Arabidopsis thaliana: one gene and its partners. The protein of the gene in region 1 interacts with the protein of each later gene in a pairwise test. Each region holds a gene or a part of one and is shown in the gene's direction. Other genes may lie near its edges.

The links.
Region 2: the proteins of AT2G02160 (region 1) and BBX9 interact in a two-hybrid assay, tested with the Arabidopsis thaliana proteins (one large-scale study listed by BioGRID).
Region 3: the proteins of AT2G02160 (region 1) and AT4G03250 interact in a two-hybrid assay, tested with the Arabidopsis thaliana proteins (one large-scale study listed by BioGRID).
Region 4: the proteins of AT2G02160 (region 1) and IAA16 interact in binary tests that used the Arabidopsis thaliana proteins (3 or more experiments, as listed by UniProt).

The regions. Positions count from the first base shown.
Region 1 is NC_003071.7:552,542-557,683, reverse strand, and holds AT2G02160 (CCCH-type zinc finger family protein), read left to right. Parts: upstream 1-1,552; 5' UTR 1,553-1,784; coding exon 1,785-1,925; intron 1,926-2,311; coding exon 2,312-2,422; intron 2,423-2,519; coding exon 2,520-4,277; 3' UTR 4,278-4,598; downstream 4,599-5,142. Other genes in the region: AT2G02170 (Remorin family protein), read left to right, coding at 1-86, 169-622, 705-786, 883-1,089; EMB2794 (Tetratricopeptide repeat (TPR)-like superfamily protein), read left to right, coding at 5,059-5,142.
Region 2 is NC_003075.7:8,709,255-8,713,444, reverse strand, and holds BBX9 (B-box type zinc finger protein with CCT domain-containing protein), read left to right. Parts: upstream 1-1,918; 5' UTR 1,919-1,960; exon of another isoform or gene 1,961-1,965; intron 1,966-2,268; 5' UTR 2,269-2,338; coding exon 2,339-2,827; intron 2,828-2,913; coding exon 2,914-3,296; intron 3,297-3,382; coding exon 3,383-3,503; 3' UTR 3,504-3,678; downstream 3,679-4,190.
Region 3 is NC_003075.7:1,423,085-1,428,562, forward strand, and holds AT4G03250 (Homeodomain-like superfamily protein), read left to right. Parts: upstream 1-1,817; 5' UTR 1,818-1,965; coding exon 1,966-1,975; intron 1,976-2,454; coding exon 2,455-2,562; intron 2,563-2,645; coding exon 2,646-3,251; intron 3,252-3,426; coding exon 3,427-3,506; intron 3,507-3,652; coding exon 3,653-4,126; intron 4,127-4,221; coding exon 4,222-4,296; intron 4,297-4,404; coding exon 4,405-4,502; intron 4,503-4,587; coding exon 4,588-4,660; 3' UTR 4,661-4,978; downstream 4,979-5,478. Other genes in the region: FH (frataxin-like protein), read right to left, coding at 601-730, 956-1,050, 1,150-1,197, 1,295-1,367, 1,457-1,674.
Region 4 is NC_003074.8:1,287,644-1,292,916, reverse strand, and holds IAA16 (indoleacetic acid-induced protein 16), read left to right. Parts: upstream 1-2,025; 5' UTR 2,026-2,501; coding exon 2,502-2,704; intron 2,705-3,153; coding exon 3,154-3,425; intron 3,426-3,512; coding exon 3,513-3,648; intron 3,649-3,743; coding exon 3,744-3,805; intron 3,806-3,886; coding exon 3,887-3,924; 3' UTR 3,925-4,762; downstream 4,763-5,273. Other genes in the region: RALFL21 (RALF-like 21), read left to right, coding at 192-509. UniProt on the Arabidopsis thaliana protein: Aux/IAA proteins are short-lived transcriptional factors that function as repressors of early auxin response genes at low auxin concentrations.

The DNA.
Region 1 (5,142 bases):
GGAAGTTGATTCGTACACTACCGTGGATTCATATGTCAAACCGGTTCTTATGGTTGAGAACTCTATTGTAGAATCAGCAACTGAAGGTGGTGTTAGCTAGCTCTTTGAGTTATTCAGTTTGTATGCTCTATTTATCTTCTAAAGCCAATTTTACTTGCTTTCTTGCAGTTAATCTCAGCCGTCATGACTCGTCAGTCGCAACTGCGTTTGCTCAACCGCCTTCAACGGCAAGGTCTGTGTCAATGAGAGACATGGGAACTGAAATGACTCCTATAGCGAGCCAAGAACCTTCTAGAAACGGGACACCGATTAGGGCAACAACGCCAATACGAAGTCCTATATCTTCTGAACCTTCAAGTCCAGGCAGACAAGCATCAGCTTCTCCTATGAGTAACAAGGAACTGTCAGAGAAAGAGCTTCAAATGAAAACTAGGAGAGAGATAATGGTGTTGGGTACTCAACTTGGTAAATTTAACATTGCTGCTTGGGCTAGCAAGGAGGATGAAGATAAAGACGCATCCACATCATTAAAGACCAAAGCTTCTCTACAAACTTCTAAAAGTGTTTCTGAAGCTCGTGCTACAGCGTGGGAGGAAGCGGAAAAAGCTAAGCACATGGCTAGGTAGTCCAAAGTTGAATTGTTTGTCATAGTCCTCTAGTTATTCTCGAAACTTTAAGCTTATGATGAGTTCTGTAATCTCCAGGTTCAGACGCGAAGAGATGAAGATTCAAGCATGGGAGAATCATCAGAAGGCGAAATCTGAAGCCGAGATGAAGAAAACCGAGGTAAACTACACTAACATAGCTACGTAAGTTCAAGTCATGATTGTGAACAAACTTGGAAAAACATGAATGATGATGGTGGAGTTCTTGATATTGTAGGTTAAAGTTGAGAGGATTAAGGGACGAGCACAAGACCGGTTGATGAAGAAACTCGCTACAATCGAGCGCAAAGCAGAGGAAAAGCGAGCAGCGGCTGAAGCAAAGAAGGATCATCAGGCAGCTAAAACAGAGAAACAAGCTGAACAAATCCGAAGAACAGGCAAAGTACCTTCATTGTTGTTCTCTTGCTTTAGCTTTTGTTCTTAAATCCAATCCTATTGTGAATGTGATGTTGTTAATTCTCAAGAACACATCTTTCTATCATCATTTGTATAATAAAAGCTTTGAAAAACTTATTTCTTGTGATCTTTTAGTTGCTTTGTACATCTTCAAATTTTGGTTTTGAGAGATCTTCGAATTACTCGGTTCAAGATGTCCTTACCAAAGTGAAAACCAAAGTTTTGATTTTGGTTTGGATTTAATTTTGGTTAGATTTCCTTACCAATGTTTGATTGTAAAAGATCTACCAATCGGTTTACAATTTTGGTTCAAGTTCGGTTTAAATCACCTTATCATTGTCTATTTCACAACATTCCAAAGTCGCTGGTTCCATCAGAAGTTATAATATCAAGGCAAACAATATGGCTAACAAATAAACCAATAATAAATCCCCACGTGTCAGTATTTGATTGATTACAAATAAACCGAACTTGATCTATTGATATTTCCCATCACATAAGAAAAAAAAAGAGCCAAAAAAAAAAACTTTTAGGCTTAGCTTTAAAGGGCACACACACACAGTCGCGAGTTTCTCTCTGGTGCGCTCTTTGTGGCGGCTCGTCTTCTTCTTCTTCTTCCACGGGACTCTCTCTGAATCGGTGATTTTCGATCTTCCTAGGGTTTCGATCTGAAACCTTGCGATCTACTTGAAAGAGAGATTCAGAAATTTCCAAGTAATAATAATGTTTGCGCCTGCGACTCAACCGCAACAGCAACATGAGCAGAAGAAGCAATCAGAGACTGTTTCATCTGCTGAAGAAGATGCTTTGAAGTGGAACACCGATTGCGTTTACTTTCTCGCTTCTCCTTTAACCTGCAAGAAGGTAATTGATTTTTGATTATTGTTTCGCTTAGATCTTATCCAGTTTCTGCTTCAATTAGGGTTTTGGATTTGAGATCTCAAGTTTCTTTCACCCGATTTCAAGTTTCTCTGTGTTTTTGTGTCCCTCGAAGCTATCTATACATACTTCACTTCTCCATCTGCTTAATTTTGGTGCGAGATTTAGATCTGGTGATTTCGAACCTCGTGATTCTAAGTATTGTTGTTTCTTAGGGCTTCTTGTTAGCTAGATTGAAAATTACATATACAAAGCTTTATAAGGATGTTCTGATAAAGGAGATTTTCATGTTCTGTGAATATGATTTTTGCTCGATGTGTATGTTTATGCTGAAGAACGATTCTTATGGTTTCTTCCTTTTTTGCTTACAGGGACCTGAATGCGAGTATCGCCACAGTGAGTATGCGCGTATGAACCCGAGGGATTGCTATTATTGGTTGAATGGAAACTGTTTGAATCCCAAATGTGGATTTCGGCATCCTGTGAGTTTACTTTCTTCCTCAATAGATAGTCTCTGCTTGAGCTTCTTGAGTTGTATTATCAAAGTGTGCTTATGTTTGTGGTTTTGTTTTCTTACAGCCTTTGGAGGGATTGTTGGGAAATCAAGGAGGTGCTCCTGCTGTTTCTGTACAGCCAATACATGCAACCGCGCAGCATCCTAGTGTTGCAAAACAGCCTGTTCCATGTCTGTTCTTTCAAAAAGGCATGTGTATGAAAGGAGATATGTGTTCGTTCTTGCACACGCCGAATCCTGCTGCGTATAAAAAACAGCATCCTGTAGAAGCTAAGCCTGCTACTGATCCTCAGTGTTCTAAAAAGCCAATTGAAAATAACACTGAGGAGAAGAAACTTCCTGATGTTAATCTCTCAAAGGTGGTTAAAGGACATACTGACATATCGGCTGCACCAAGAGTCGCTTCTACTGGACTAAGGGATAGTAGAAGTGTAGAGGGATACATTCCAAACCATGTGGGATATGAGCCTGTTGTGCAGAGAAAGGGTCCAGGATTCCCTTCTTTTACTGAAGGAGGCCATTCTACTCAGTTGCTTCAGAAATATGGATCTGATGATAATAACAGTTTCCACAATGGTAAGGATGCAGATGACGTTTTAAGAGAGTCGTCTCCTGGGTTTGATGTTCTTGTGGATAATGAGGCTGGAGATTCTGAGTATTATCATGTTGAAGATCGATATGGACGTAGAAGTCAGGAGAGAGGGAACTCAGAGTATGACCCTGATTTCAGTGCAATTGCTGATGGTGATAAAGAAGCATTACGTGAACAACGTTTTGATTCATATGATCGGAGGGAAGACAGGGGATGGGGCCATCGTCGAGTTTCTTCTGAGAGAGAGGATCGTTTGGACAGAAGGGTTTACGCAGAAGATGAGAGATCAGAGAACATACTGGAATCGGATCTGAGATATCGTTTGGCTAAGCAGAGAAAAGGCAATGGTATGAGATTATCAGTAGGAGGCCATGACTATGCTGCTCCTGACTCTTCGATGGACAGAGGATATAGAGAGTCTCGTAGGGATACACCGAGGGAAAACTCCATTAGCAGTAGTCGTCTTCAGGGTAGAATTAAGCTTCGTGAGAGAAGCAATGGCGAAGAGGGTCACCACTTTGACAGGAGAAGTGAGAGGGGAAGGGACAGAAGCGAGTTACCTTCTCAGGGTAGACTCCGAGATAGAATTAAGGGTAGGTTAGAGGAAAACCATAGTGGTAATCAGGAAAGAGGTTTCGGGGCTCCATGGGCGAGAAGAAGAGAAATGGAAGACGAAAGAAAATCAGCTCCTAAAAGCAGCAGAGAGGAAAGTAAGCCAGAGCCATCTCTTGGGAAGAGGAAAAGCTTTGAAGAGGATCATCATAGTCATAAGCGATCAAGGGATTCATTTGCAGCTCCATTGCCTTTCAGTGAGATTCTCAAGAGAAAAAAAGCGGCCGCATCTGGTGGTAGCAGAAACAACAACAAGGACGAGACGATATCGAAAGAGGAAGCTGGAGATGAGATCAAACTCATAACCGAAGAGAAAACCGAGGTTGTCTCTGAACCCAAAGCTGAAGTAGAAGAAGAAGGAACGGTTATGGAGGAAGAAGAAATTGTTGGGGAGGAAGTGTATGAAGGAAATGAAGACGAGCAAGCTTATGAAGGCGATGAGCTAAACGGAGAGTACTATTACGAAGAAGGATATGAAGAAGAGGGAGGAGAATACGCTTACGAAGAAGGTGAAGAAGTAGTTTACGCGGCTGAGGAAGGAGAAGAAGAAGCAACAGAAGGAGGTGAAGGTGAGGGTGAAGAAGACATTGAGAAGAAGACCGTTGAGATGTTGTCATAAAAGAAGAAAGAGTAACACAGAAAAAAGCTTTTGCTCCTTTCCTCTCTCTCTCTCTCTCTGCTTAATGCAAATGGAGAGAAGAAGTCGTAGAGCAAATAATACGAGTCGCTTTTATCTTTGGCTTGGCACTGAGTTTTAGTCGCCATTTTTTCTTACTGTGATTTCTTAAATTGTAACACTAGAGAAGAAAGAAAAGAAACAATGGTACAAGTACACCATATCATATTTCTGAGTTTTACTGTTTTCTAATCTGTTTTGATATATTACTTTTTCCTCAAATTAAAAAGTATTTACAGTAAATAACTTATTTTAGCTTTTAACACCTTTTATCATTATTGTTTTTGCACTTGCATACCATGAATGATGTAATACCACTTTAGCATTATTGTTTTTGCCCTTTCCATAACATGAGTAATTATGTAACTGATTTCCACCAATCAACTTTAAAGTATTTACGAATTTAGTCGACCAATCTAATTAACCCTGAGTTAAAAAATGTTATGAGAAAAAGAAGACTGGGCCCAGAATTATAACTTTTGGGCCTATGTAGCCCGTTTCCAAAGGCCCATAAATCATTATTTTACAAACAAGAACAACAACAGGTAAAGAAATAGACTTGGTGGAAAAAAGCAACAAAACCCAGAGTTCTTCATAAACCCTACTTTCTTCTTCTTCTTCTCCTTCCTTCCTCTTCAGTAGAATAGTTGAATACCATAGAATACAATGTCTCTGAGTTAAACCATGAGGCTCATTCTATTCACTTTTAACTTTTTTCCTGAAAATGTTCTGTTCTCTTCGCAATTTTCTTCACGTTAATCGCAGATTCCCTCGCCATGTAAGCCCTTCTTCTTCTTCCCTCTCTCAA
Region 2 (4,190 bases), on another chromosome or scaffold:
GGTCTGTGACTATTTTCGTTTGTGTATATATGTTGAAATTGGTGATATTTAAGGTTTTTGTGAAAGAGATTTGTGATGTCTTAGTTTTATGGGATGTGGAAGGGGTTGAATATGGTGATGATACAAGAGTATTGTGGACTAGAGTTTCAGATCTGGGATTCTTCTCCCAGAAGTTGAAGATTAACCCTTGGCTGTCTGAGTATTAATTCCCCTTTCACCCAAAATCTTATCTTTTGATTGGTTTGAAGACAAATTTCTCTGTTATTGTTTTTTTTTGTTGGTTGATGTTTTTCCACTTATAAGCTTATGATGATAGAAAACAATTATCTTAGCGGATTTCAGTGAGGTTTTTCAATCAATGATCTGAATTTGTTACACACACTGAGGCTTTTTTTTTTTTTTAATGTTTGGCTTTTGTTTAGTTGGATTATTGTTAATAGGTTTGATTGATGTTTGTATGTACTTGTTTTGGGTTATAAAGCTGATGATGATAAAAACAATTATCTTAGCGGATTTCAGTGAGGTTTTTGAATCAATGAACTGAATTTGTTACACACACTGAAGCTTATTTGTTCTTTCAATGTTTTTTGTTTTGTTTTGTTGGATTACTGTTATGGGTTTGATGATGATGATGCAATGATGAGATGAAAGCACGAAGAGTGTGAGAAGAGCAGTGGGTTTACCGTGAGCTCTCCTTTAAAACGACTTCTCCTTCCACTGAGCATTTTTTATCAAAAATTTTGCCCTATTGAAGAAAGAGTTTTAGTGTTTTTTGTTTTTGTATTGGCGTCCATTACCAATTCTGAAGGATAAAAACAGTTCCTTCAGGTATAATGGCTTGTGACGCTATATTGGTTGTGGTATATCCTGATCTTTTTGCTTTTTTCCATGCCTTTTGATCCTGGAAATGCCTCGCACATTATATCAATTGGTTTTGTTTTTCCTCTTTTTTAATACCGGAAGAGATTAGCTAGTTATTCTTTGATTTTCAGTTGGTGGAAGGGCTTTATGAAAACAATTGGTGTGTTTAAATGTTATGTTTTCTTCACTACTTTTGCAAAATAAGTGGTTAACAAAACAATTGAAAACTATGAGCTGATTTTTGGACGAATAATGGATTTAGCGTTCCTATAGAATTGATTAACAAAACAATTGACTTATCAGGAAACAATTGTTTGGTCGAATGAGCTGCTTTTTGGACATCTAATGAAATCTTTTGGCAAACAAACAATGACAACCAGACTGGTCATGCCATGAGCGACCTTTTCAGCTAATGCCAGCAGTTACTGTCTGTTGAATTGTTTACAAGTACATTTAGCCTTTTTTGGCATGGAATGCATTGGGAGATGTTTCAAAAATAGTACATTTAGCCTTTTTACTGAGGCTGGTAAAAAATCGTAAACGAATATCAATCGTTGTCACAAAGTTTTCTCTCTTAAAACATGATCGCTCACTAGAATTTCAATCATTTAAGTGCTTCTAACATCTCATATTTTAAGTTGTGAAAACACACTTAGTAAAATTAGTGAGAAATAGATACAATAACTATCCATAACCACAGGTTAATGAAACCGGACTAGTATGCTGCAAACTCCTAGATCCATTAAACCAACACTCGGAATAAATTGCTTCGAACTAGTCTTATTACTCGGATGTTTTGAATAACAAGAAAAACGTGTTCAAAATTAATGACATTTACACGTTTTTTTATTAACAATTCTCGAAATTCTTGCGAGCCACAGAAAGTACCTAAAGAATCAAACAAAAACTCCGAATTGTATGGTCAACCACATTATGACATCAACAAAATCTAAGGAACAATAAAACCACACGTGACAAAAGATACCCCGCGTGGCAAACCCGCTTAACAAGGTGGACCCCACACAGGATAAAAACAGAGCAAAACCTTTTCTTCTCTGTTCTTTCTCATCTCCTTCTCACTGGACTCTCACACACCCTTGTAAAGCTTCTAATCTCTGGAACCCTGAAACATAAACAATTTTACACGATTATTGTTATACTCTTGTTTAGAAAAAACTCTGTAATTAACTGGTTATGAGTTTCTAGACATTGTGATTTTAGTACTGATTCGGTCTCGAGAATCCACATTTTCTTAGTTTGTGAGTGTTTCTCTAACATTCAAACACAACCATGTATTAGTCACAGTCACAGTCACACATTAAAAAGATACATGAACCTATAATGAATCGTAATTTTGTTTGATCTCTGAATGTTCTGTTTTTGTCTCACGATCCTTCTATGCTATAGGATTTTAGGTGTGTGTAGCGATTGGGATTGAGAAATCGTTATTTCTTTGGAGTTTTGTCTTCGAAGAAGTATGGAGGCTCGATGTGACTTTTGTGGAACCGAAAAAGCATTAATCTACTGCAAATCTGATTCGGCTAAACTTTGTTTAAACTGTGACGTTAATGTACACTCAGCGAATCCTCTGTCTCAAAGACACACGCGATCTCTACTCTGCGAGAAATGTTCCTTACAACCCACGGCAGTACACTGTATGAACGAAAATGTTTCTCTTTGCCAAGGATGTCAGTGGACCGCTAGTAACTGCACTGGTTTAGGACACAGACTTCAGAGTCTGAACCCTTACTCTGATTGTCCTTCTCCATCAGATTTCGGCAAGATCTGGTCTTCAACTTTAGAACCTTCTGTCACAAGTTTGGTCTCTCCATTTTCTGATACCCTGCTCCAGGAATTAGACGATTGGAATGGTTCATCAACTTCCGTGGTTACACAAACTCAGAACCTTAAAGACTATTCTTCTTTCTTTCCTATGGAATCTAATCTTCCAAAAGTGATAGAAGAGGTGACGTGTTGTTTAAGTAATATATCAAAATGTTTCATTTATGATAAAGAAGAATGTTTTTCATTTATATTCCGTTCTATATGCAGGAATGTTCTGGTTTGGATCTATGCGAAGGGATAAACTTAGATGATGCGCCGTTGAATTTCAACGCAAGCAATGATATAATCGGATGTTCATCACTTGACAATACCAAATGTTACGAGTACGAGGATTCTTTTAAGGAAGAGAATAACATTGGCCTTCCTTCATTACTGCTTCCTACTTTATCCGGGAACGTTGTACCGAACATGTCACTTTCGATGTCTAACCTCACAGGAGAAAGCAATGCGACTGATTACCAAGATTGCGGAATTTCACCAGGGTTTCTCATAGGAGATTCGCCATGGGAATCGAATGTTGAAGTTAGTTTTAATCCAAAATTAAGGGATGAGGCTAAAAAGAGATACAAACAAAAGAAATCAAAGCGCATGTAAGTTTTTGAGACACATAATCAGAGTCATTATCATGCTTTTAAAACATAATCTCATTGATATTTGTGGTACCAATTTCTTCTAGGTTTGGGAAGCAAATAAGATATGCATCACGCAAAGCCAGAGCTGATACGAGAAAACGGGTCAAAGGGAGATTTGTAAAATCTGGAGAAACTTTTGAGTATGATCCGTCACTGGTGATGTGAACTAGTGAATCTTCACTGCGGAACTAAAGAATAATCTGACTCCATCCACGGGATTAACAGTTTCTTGTCGGAGAAGTAACAAAAAAAAAACATAAAATTCTCTTCTTGAGAAAGTATACAAGATCAAACTACAAAGACTTAAAATCATCGCAAAGGTGATTCCAAAATGGAGATTAAAAAAAAAAAAAACTGAAAGTTGCTCTTTTTACTAGAGAATTTCCACTGTTTTTTGATGCAACCACAAAACCTACCGGTCATACAGGCATTAATTAGGCATACAGCTACGAGACGATCAGACAAAATCAGAAACCAAAAAACAAAACAAGAGTCGTTGACTCTTTCCTACTTATAGCTCCTTAATCTCAATTACATGTTAATCATAGAAAAATATATCTTCTTTGTGTTTTGGACCACTCTCCACCTTCCATTTCACTTGATTGTAATTTGTAACGTTGTATTGTTTTCCTAGTTAAGAAAAATAAAGCCAAAGAATAAAGGCAGATTATGTTTGCCATAGGAAGATTTGTTCTTGATTTCTTATAGCTTACTATTGGGACCGCATTATTTTACTATTAAATCAATATGTTTTCTAGGTGTTCATATATTACTTTTAAGCTTTAGAATGAAAATATACATTCTTAGAACATTTCCAGAGAAAAAACCCTACCAATATTTAATCTTAATTAC
Region 3 (5,478 bases), on another chromosome or scaffold:
GCCACTGTATGTAGATACACATGTGACCAATTCACGCACTTTGTGTCAACTTTTTCCGCGATGGATCTCTAAATAGTTCAAAAAGATCCAACATTTTTTGAATAATACGTACTTTTAGAGTATTTTTTGACAATGAGAGAGACATAGGGGTACCTAAACGTGAATTACTGGAAAAAGGGGACAATGATGTTGAAGAAGTCAATCTTTTGTCCTTATTGGTGCTTTCGAAGAAGTGGAGATTGACCCTGCAAACATTGTTAACCAACTTTTTTCCGAAATTATTGTGAGATTCGAGGAGTTTTGACAAATGTAGGACTTTTGTCGTTCAAAAGAAATGTTTTCATCTAAAACGCGTAAACCTGTAAAAGGCAGCTTCAGCTCTGATTAAACAAAGAGACTTGCAACAATGTCACTATGAGACATTACTGTTTAAAAATAGATTCAGAAACACTAATCAGTTTTCACACTAAAACAACTTTGTCTTCTGCCTTGTTTGTTTATTCCTCTGGATGTTTCATAGATATACCTTTAACAGGGTATAGCAGTTTCAAGTTCATAGATGAAACCCTTTCGCTCACAAATATTGTTTTAAAGCCTTCTTTATGAGAGTTGGATTGGTTCACCACATAGATTCTCTAACTCCTCTTCCAGGAGTTTATGCAACTTTGCTTCAGTTCGCCGATATATCCACGCATTAGCATCACGGTCCCAGTCAAATCTAGAAGGGCCACTGCACCGAGACAAAAGGAAGAATGAAGATTACATTAATGTGAATCTAAGATGTGGAAGCACAAAGTCAAGAGCAACAACACTATACAGTCATAAACAGTTTCATTTCTCCAAATATCATGAGTACAAAAATCAGAAGAGAGAGCAGAACATGATAATCCAGATGCGAAATTCAATCTAGGCGCCTAAAGTTAGCAACTTTCAAAAGGCAAGAAAGAATCTTTACCTCACAGGTGAAGACATCCAGATTTGTCGATTTGGAGTTTGCTTATTCAGTACATAAGTGCCTAAAGATCCAAGCTTAAGGGTAAGAACTTCATTCTGTTGGAAACAGCCAAAAGGACTGACTATAATAAGTACACATAGATTTCCAGAAATATGAACAAGATCTTAAATTGCTTAAAAGAGTTTAATCCTTACCCCATAATCTATGTCGAAACCATCAATCTGAACATTATCACCATAATCCTGAACATGAATCATGCAAGTAGAACATAGTGTAAGCTATTGCAATCTCAAGTAAAACGAAGAACCCTAGAGAGAAAAAGGTTCCAGCTTCAAATACCTCAATTTTCTCAAGAAGGTGATTAATTGTGAAGTTGGCTAATTTGTGAAACTCTTCCTCCTGCAAAACCGAACTGTTTTTTTCTTCCACTTTGTTCATATTCTCATGAAATTAACGATTCAGATACAATAAAGGAGATCAAAATGGAGAATATTAAAGTACCTGTAATCGACAGAAGCAGGACCTTGAGAAGAGAAGCTTCTGGTAGTCAAAGAATCATGGCGGATTCGAGATCCTATTCTCCAGAAGGAATCCAACGGTTCTATGGAATCTTGAATCAGATTGCTTGAAACTCTTACGCCATTGCTACGGAGAAGAGTTGGAGACAGCTTGAGAAACCTCGGCAATTTCCGTAGAAGAAACCTTGAAGCTGTAGCCATGGCGGTTCTGTCACAAGAAACATTCGACGCCTCTCTTCTTCTTATTCCTTCGTTGTCCAATTTAGGCCCACAATAAGGCCCAAATTTAGATTTACCCGGTTCACGTATTTCCCATGTTCCGGTTTACTGAAACCGGTATGGTTCTCAAGAGATTTGTCATTTGTGTGCGAAGAAGAGTTTTCTTCTCCTCTCATAAGAAAAAACCAGAATTTTGAAGAAGGAGAAAGAAAAAAATCTGGGTTTTTGGGAGCTGATTAGGTTTTGTTCCTTCAATCTCTGGGAATTTTCGCTATGCACTCAGGTGAAATTCGTTTTTTCCTCTATTTCAATCTCTGTCTTCCTGCGAGTTTACGTGAGAGAATAGTTTTTAATGATCCCGAGTTCGTCGAATTACAATGCAACTCCCAGTTTTTGTAGTTTTAATTAGCGAAATTCATCAATGGCATTGGAAATTTTAAGCCTTTTTTGGTTTGTTTTATGGTACTACTAATTATTCAAGCTAAGGAATTCCAAAGTTTTCGTTCGTTTTGATTGGGTTTAGAAGTATTTGGCTGATGAGAGAAAGAGCCATAATTCTGAAATTAAACCCTTTTATGTGAAGCTTGTGTAGATGTTTTACCTGAATTTCGGAATTACTAGCAACATTTCTAAATACACAAAGCATGATTGTAAAATGAAATTGATTTTGGTCAGGGCTTTGCATCTCTTGGTTATTGAATGGTGTCCGTGTTTCACTATTATCTTCTTATGTTTTTGATTTTTATGTGCTATTTTCGATAGATTCAGGCGAAGCGACCGCTGATGGCGATAAAGCTTCTACAGAAAACAGCAAAAAACGGAAGCTTAAGACTCCTATGCAAGTTATGGCGCTTGAGAATTTCTACAATGGTAAATTATGGCTTTGTTGTTTGCATATGTTCCTTTATACCAAGTTGTATATGCTTTACAGGTGTGATTTGGTTTTTCTACAGAGCATAAGTATCCGACTGAAGAAATGAAGGGCAAGTTAGCAGAGGAAGTTGGATTAACTGAGAAGCAAGTTTCAGGTTGGTTCTGCCATAGAAGGTTAAAAGACAAACGTCATGTAAAAGAAGATGGGAATGCCATTGGGAGCCAAGATCGGTCAAGCGTTGTTCTTCAGGATCGTGGAAGTGGGCTTCGACAGGATTCATGTGGTAGTACAAAGCAAACGGATTATTGGAACCCCAAGCCTAGGGAAGTTGAAAGTCAAAGGCTTTATATGGGAAATGCTGATGGTGAAGATAGTACATCTTCTGATCGTAGCTCATCATTACGTAAGAATCTTGTCTCTAGCAAAGATGGAATTCGCGATGTGGAAAGTTCTAGATATGTTGCACATAAAGACGTTATTCAGCATCCTCAGTTCATGAGAAGCTATGGGTATAATAAGCCTTCGGGATACTTGAAAGTGAAGGGAGAGAGTGAGAATTTTGCTATCACTGCCGTAAAGAGACAATTAGGAAGACAATACCAAGAGGATGGTCCACCTCTGGGGGTTGAATTTGATCCTCTTCCTCCCGGTGCATTTGAGCCTCAGACTAATCCTATAGTTCACGGTGAGTCATGATAAAATGTTTCAACTTTACCTTTAATTTTCTGGTTTATGATGTTATGAGTATTGAGTAAGTGGCTCAGAGAAGCTAAAACCATCTTCTTCGTGTGTCAGATTGTGAATGCCTTTACCCATGTCCAGTCGGATTTGATTGCTTTTTCTATCAACTGTTTTGTCAGAGCCAATATATGTTGGGAATCAGAGACGGCCTCACCTTCCACATTTACTTGGAACGAGGAAGAGCTTTAATCCTGGTCCTGTAAGTGAACATTTTCTGTATACTACATACCCATGAAGATAATATAAACTAGAATCTTAGTCTGCCATCACATTCTTTGGCTAAATTATCTTACTTTCTTTGAAGTATTATTAATATTTTCGTTTTCTGTCTTAATGTCTTTATAGAGCTATGAATTAGCTCGTAAATCAAAGTTGCATTCGCCAGATCCAGATTCAGAGGATGATGAGCATGATGATGATGACAACATAATGGTTGGAATGGAGCCTGGTCTAAGAGATAAGAAAAGTTTTGGGGAACCAAGACTGAAATCCCCTTCTACCAGTTTCTATAATTCTGTACCTCGCCACAAATCGTTTAAAGAGACATTCAAAGGTTCACCACGGGAAATCCCTGTAACTAACAGCAAGAAGGGTTGGATAAGTTCCAAAAGTTGGGCTGAAGGGTCGAGAAACCATCTGGTTGCCAACGTCCAAAATCTTTCTGGAAGCAATATTGAAACCAATCAGTCTCATGATTATGATAATAATATATCTAATGGCGGACGCAAGACGGGATATCTCACTAAATCTTCGAAGCTGTTACCTCCGAGTAGAAGCAGATCCCCTGAGTCAATGGATAGAGGTCCATCTTCTGGGATGGTAAAGATTTGTCTAATACTTCCATGTCTACATGTTCCTTTCTTGCCCTTTTATGGAAATATGACTTGTGTTTTGTGTGATATCTTCTTTTAAAGGCAGGAATATATCACGGGGAGAGGAATCAAATGAAAATGCAGAGAGAGAAATTGCATTCGACTGATGAACCACCGGTGAGTTTGATGGTTAACTATCTTAAAAATATAGATATTGATGTATATTTTAACAAAGTTTAGAGGCTCTATCAAGTTCGTGTTCTGACCTTTAACGAATGTTAATAGGTTGCCAAACGAGTGAAACATGGGTATATTCAGCAAGTATATGCACCAAAATCATCATCATACAGCGAGATTCTTGAACGAAAAAGCCAGATAAATCGGTTAGTAACCAACCATTGTGTAATGCATTTATTGTCCCAAAGAGATATCAAATCGGCTTATTGGATCATACTGTTATGTTTGTAGGTCTGGTGTGGAACTGCCTTCTAGTTTAAGCGGGGACGATGAGACTGACGAATCTAGCTCGTCAATGGATTAAGTAAAGAAAGGTACAAAGGAAGATTAGGAAATTCCGGTTTGTATAGATATATGATGAAACCGGTTTAGGATGTGAAAATGTTGCATCGTGTAATTGGTAAAAGTTAGAGCTCTCTTCATTTTGGTAACTAAACGGTCCCCAAAGAGATACAGTGAGCCAGTAATGAGCCTTTTTTTGTTTAAATTTGCTCCTAAACCGTTACCGGTTTGACCGAATTGAGTATGTAAATCCCAGTGATTACAAAATAACCAAAGTAAGGCCCATTTATTAATAAAGCTCAAATTAGGCCCAAAATATTATGATAGTCCGGTTTAGTCGTAAAAGGCGGTTCGGAAATGTGTGACTAGGAGATTTCGTCACATGAGAAAAAATCAGAGCCGTTGACTAGTTTTCGTAGAAAGTATGTGGTACAATTTTGATTCGGCCAAAAAAGGTTTTTTTCTTTTTCTTTTAGGGTTAGCGTTGCTTTGCCTCAAACTCAAATTTTGAAGATAATTTTTTTGGTTTCTCTGCTACTGATTTCGAATCTTTACGCTTAATCAATTATTCATCTGGATTTTCAAATCCAATCCTTTTCCTCCCTGGTAAGAATCTCTCTTCTTCTTCTTCTTCTCTCTCACGACGATTCCACTGTTCTCCGATTCTGTGTTAGTTCCTGCGATATTTTCCATCACTTGTTCGTGTTTCGTTATTACGGGTTTGTGTTTTGTGAACTTGTTGACCTTTGTGTCTCCGTAATTTCGTCCAACGGTTGATGTTTTTGATTGCTGATTAGATTTTTGTCGGTAGGTATTGAAAAAGATGATCTTTATGGATTT
Region 4 (5,273 bases), on another chromosome or scaffold:
ATACATGTATTACTAAAGAATTCTGTAGGTACATTTTCTACCGGTCAATTCAACATCCTATTGTAATTTCCTTTTAAGTAAAAGTTGTATAAGACTCTTTCACAATTATTTATTCACTATAAATACCACGAACTGTACCATTCTTACCAACAAATATATATTTCTCCCACACACATAAATAAACACAAATCATGAGCAATATGAAAATAACAAATAGGTTTATGCTAGTGGCAACATTCATAGCATGTGTGTTCATAAGCAGCATGAACATGACGGTTGGAAAAGTAATTGGGTATCCAGGGTTGAAGCCTGATCTTCCTTGTGATCATCATCGGTATCCTTCTGCATGTGCACCCTCCGAACAACCAGTGAATCCTTACAGACGGGGATGTAGTAAAATACATAGATGTAGACGCGATTCACCCCCTGCACCAATTTCTAGAAAAATGTTAATACGAGGTCAATTAATTTATAATAATGCATATAATGCATATATCCAATATCCATGAATAATAAATTTATGGGTTTGGTTGTGTTTAAGCCATGTTGTTCTCTACATCTACACATTTACCTTAATATTTTTCAGCATGTATTATTGTATTACGATATATACAGTGGTGAAATCTTGTTTTATCATTCAGTTTTGTTCGATTTAAGCTCCTTCTTATTAATGGTAAAATAAAACAAATCAGATCACATATATTCATAGCATTTAAGGACCTAGTGTGTCACACGTGTGAACCTGTAATGTTTGTTATACACAACAAGACAATGATTTTTGACTGGGCCCAGCCCACACGAGGGTCCTAACATCTCTCAACAGGGTTGGTGTTTTTGGGCCCAGGTGGACCCTTTTATCTCATTCTCCTCCTCCTCCTCACGTTTATATGAAATTTTTCACCTATATAAATTTAATCAATTTTATTTATATAAAATTCTTGACATGTAGATTATAAGATTAAGATGAAGTCGTTGTCAATTTGGACCTTCAATTTTTTATGTCAGATTCTTCCATCGTAATCATGCATGGGGGCATGAACATGATGATGTTTAGCAATAAATGATGTTGATGATCATTATGCTGTTATAATTTTATTATATATAATTTGCATGGAGCCATTTATTTATCAACGCTATTATTATTATGCTCCTTTGTGAAAAAATACTACATTACCATATTTTAGGGTCGACGAAATGGGCATGACATGTACCGCCGCCCATACCACATATGGTTGACCATTTACTGTTGAGTTAGTCGTGTTTGGCCCTCCCCACCGAAGATTATATAACCCAATACACATAAGAATTAGTTAGCATTTGCACCTGCATAGAAAAAAATTAGCACTAGATTAAATTATTCCCAGCATTATACTATATTATAATCATTGATCGGAAGGAATGTTTCCTAATTACATAATTGGTAATCATGTTTAACGCACAATTACTTGAATTAACATGAATCCCTAATTATCTATTGACTTCACAATAATCCATGAATTTAGAGCCAAGACAAGGCCACAGGGGCACATGGGAAGTATAGTACGAAAATGCTATGGCAGACCAGGACTTTTAGTTCGTTTAAACTTTAAAATTTATTTGAATTCAATTAGTATTTGTCGGCATTTTATAATATAAGAAATTGAAAATAGTCTTAAAAAAAGGCAAGCATAGGCCAATAGGCCTTGTGAATGGCGGACCCCATAAGAAGGACAACGAACGAATCGAATCCACGGGAATCAAAACACATGTTTGAAGCTGACCACTTTCGATTTCTTTCCCATCTGTGGGCTCCATTATGTCTTAGCTGTCATTTTTTAATTCCATTTTCATATAAACCATCACCAATTAAATAAAAATAATCTCCGACAAAACACTCTTTATTTATATATTTAGTCTTTTTCTTCTTTTTTTTCTTTGCTATTATTTTTCATCAAATTGATATTTCTGTTTTTGATATTTTTTCAAAAGACTCGAATATCTTTTGCCGTAAAAACTGATTAAAGTACTAAAAAGAAGAGGTATACCTTTTTATGCGAGTGGTAAAAATGATTCATATTTCAAGTTTGATTAGAATTTATTTTGGGTGGATAAATTCGACACAGAAAAGGAGAGACTGTGCCAAGTTGGCCTTTGCCCACTGGCTTGGCCGCAATTATTCTCAGGAAAATGACGCCATTCGTGACATCATTCTCTCCCGACAACACTCCTTACGGTCCAACCAATCCCAGCATCCACCTGGCAACATCACCTCCGTTCAAATAATCATCCTCAATGATCAATTCCATATATAATTTTATACCACACACGATCCAATATTTAGCCCTTTGTTTCTCTACACACATCTCACATCCCCCTATCTCTCTCTCTCTTCAAACGTTTTAGTTCCCCAAAAAAATATCAAAAGAACTAAAAGAAAAACCCTAGAAGCCGAAGAATCTCCTACTCGTTGTCGATCGGATCACCTAACTAATTACTCGTTGATAATCATTATATCGAGAAATATGATTAATTTTGAGGCCACGGAGCTGAGATTAGGGCTACCGGGTGGGAATCACGGAGGAGAAATGGCTGGAAAAAATAATGGTAAAAGAGGATTTTCTGAGACTGTTGATCTCAAACTGAATCTTTCATCGACGGCTATGGATTCAGTTTCCAAAGTCGATTTAGAGAATATGAAGGAGAAGGTCGTAAAACCACCAGCCAAGTAAGAAACTGAATTTCAATCTCTATTTCAACTAATAATATTGTCTTCTAGGTTCGGTAAAATTAGGTTATACTAGGCGGTCATTATGTAGAGATGTATACGCTTTAACATGATTTCTAGCTAGGTTAGGGAACTCGAACGGAATAATTATGCTGATACTTCTCCTAAGATCTTTGTTTTTTATTTGGTTTTGCTCCATGTTTCAATTGTAGTTAGGTTGAGAGTCTGTTTGATTATTTTTTTGTCGGGAAGAACTAGAAAAATACAAAACATAAGGAATCTTTCTTTATCTACCAAAAAGATTAAAGATTAAATAAACTTTTGGACAACTACAACCACCTAACATCCGACACGTGTAGAACAACTAGATCATTTACAAACATTTTACAAAAAAAAGAAGTAATGAGTATTATTGAAATTAAAAAAAAAAAATCATTACGAAATTTCAGGGCACAAGTTGTGGGATGGCCACCGGTACGATCTTTCCGCAAGAACGTCATGTCCGGCCAAAAACCGACCACCGGAGATGCCACCGAAGGAAACGATAAGACTTCTGGCAGCAGTGGAGCCACCTCATCCGCCTCCGCATGTGCCACCGTGGCTTATGTGAAGGTTAGCATGGACGGTGCACCGTACCTACGGAAAATTGACTTGAAACTCTACAAAACTTACCAAGATCTCTCCAACGCCTTAAGCAAAATGTTTAGCTCTTTTACCATAGGTAAATAAAAATTGACAATATATCTATCTACTAAAACATGATCCTTTTTATCATATATTGTTTGAAATTTGAAATTTTATTTTTCAGGCAACTATGGACCACAAGGAATGAAAGATTTCATGAATGAGAGTAAATTGATCGATCTTCTAAACGGATCAGATTATGTTCCAACATATGAAGATAAAGATGGCGACTGGATGCTTGTAGGAGACGTACCGTGGGAGTGAGTATTTTTATATCTTTAAATTTATATATGAATTATTATTATAAATACGTCTATACAAAATATTTATTTACATGTTGTTTGGACTATTTTAGGATGTTTGTTGATTCATGCAAACGTATACGAATAATGAAGGGATCAGAAGCAATCGGACTTGGTTAGTATTGTTTAATCCAAAACTGGTGGTGTAAAATTATACTATGAATCTTTGCTAATACTAATTTTCTATATATTGCAGCTCCAAGGGCATTAGAAAAGTGCAAGAACAGAAGTTGAGTTCTCGACGACATTTCGTGTTCTTACCTAAAAAAGGAAGAAAGCCTGTTTCGATCGGTTGGATATCTCGAACCGAGAAAGCTAAACCGGCTCGAAACTATTGTTCCGAGCAAGGAGTTTGCTTATAATATTAATTAATAATAATATTAATATTGTGGTGTATTACATTTTAAAAAATTAAATCGTTTTTGTTATATGTATTATATACATATATTAATATGTATATTTAATTAGGTTGCATCTATTTCCGTTAAAACCAACTTTTGTTTTTACGCATTATCGTGTTGTCTATATGGTCTGTGTCCGTAAGGCATCTTAATGTGTTACTTTGACGTACCAAATTATTACTTACATTATTTCATTTCTCAACAATCTTTTTTTATCCAACATTTTCAACCACCTTAAATTATACCTTTTTGTTTGTTTATTCTTTATTTTAGTAACTTTTCAATAAGTGGAGCTAAATGACATGAGATGGTTAACAATCGTAAAACCAACAAACGGAAGATTAGTAGTGCGGATCTTTTTGTATCAATGTAACTCGAAGACCAATTATTGTCGTGCGTATATATAAGGTTGGCCTCAACAGGATCCAATTGGTGTTTAGTGTCTATTTCTTTCTTTTTTAATAAGGTTGGCCTGGCCTCAATTATTGTTTTTTTTTATTTCTAATATTACATTTATCAATTTTTGGTGTTTTTTCGGTGAAACACAAATGAAAAAACTTTAAATAGATCAAGGTAATGTGGGTGGTGGAAAGGGCAAGAGCATGTGGATAATGTAGAGTTGTTGGGGGACAATATTTTAATGAATTCCGAGTAAATTAATAATGTCTTTAATATGTATGCTCCATTATTGATGCTTTACGCTGTCATCGACATCCATTGCCTCAACAAACAATGGTTGATAATGATGATATTTGTTTTATTTATTATTTATCTGATTTTTTAGTAAATTTGATCTAGTTTGTATCCTTGGTTGTCAAATTCACCACATGTATTTACTTGTTTGTAGAATACTTAGTTCAATATAAATTGGCTGATTTTGCTCTCGTTGTGAATTACAACTTGTAACTTAACAAGTACAAAATGCACAAAAGATGGTTCTCAAAAAACAGATTCACAAAAGATGATTACAAGAAGATGAAAGATACACAAAAATAAACAAGAAGCACAGCTTCGTCCCAACAATAATTAAGTAATTTGGGGGGAAAAACATTTTGGGCCATGGTTAACACTAGGGAAAAAAAATTGGGGCCTTACATTTTCTCATAATAATGGGCTTTTCATCAATTTTCTTAAATATTAATGGGCCTTTGGCCCGATAACAGCTACCCTATCCATTTGGTC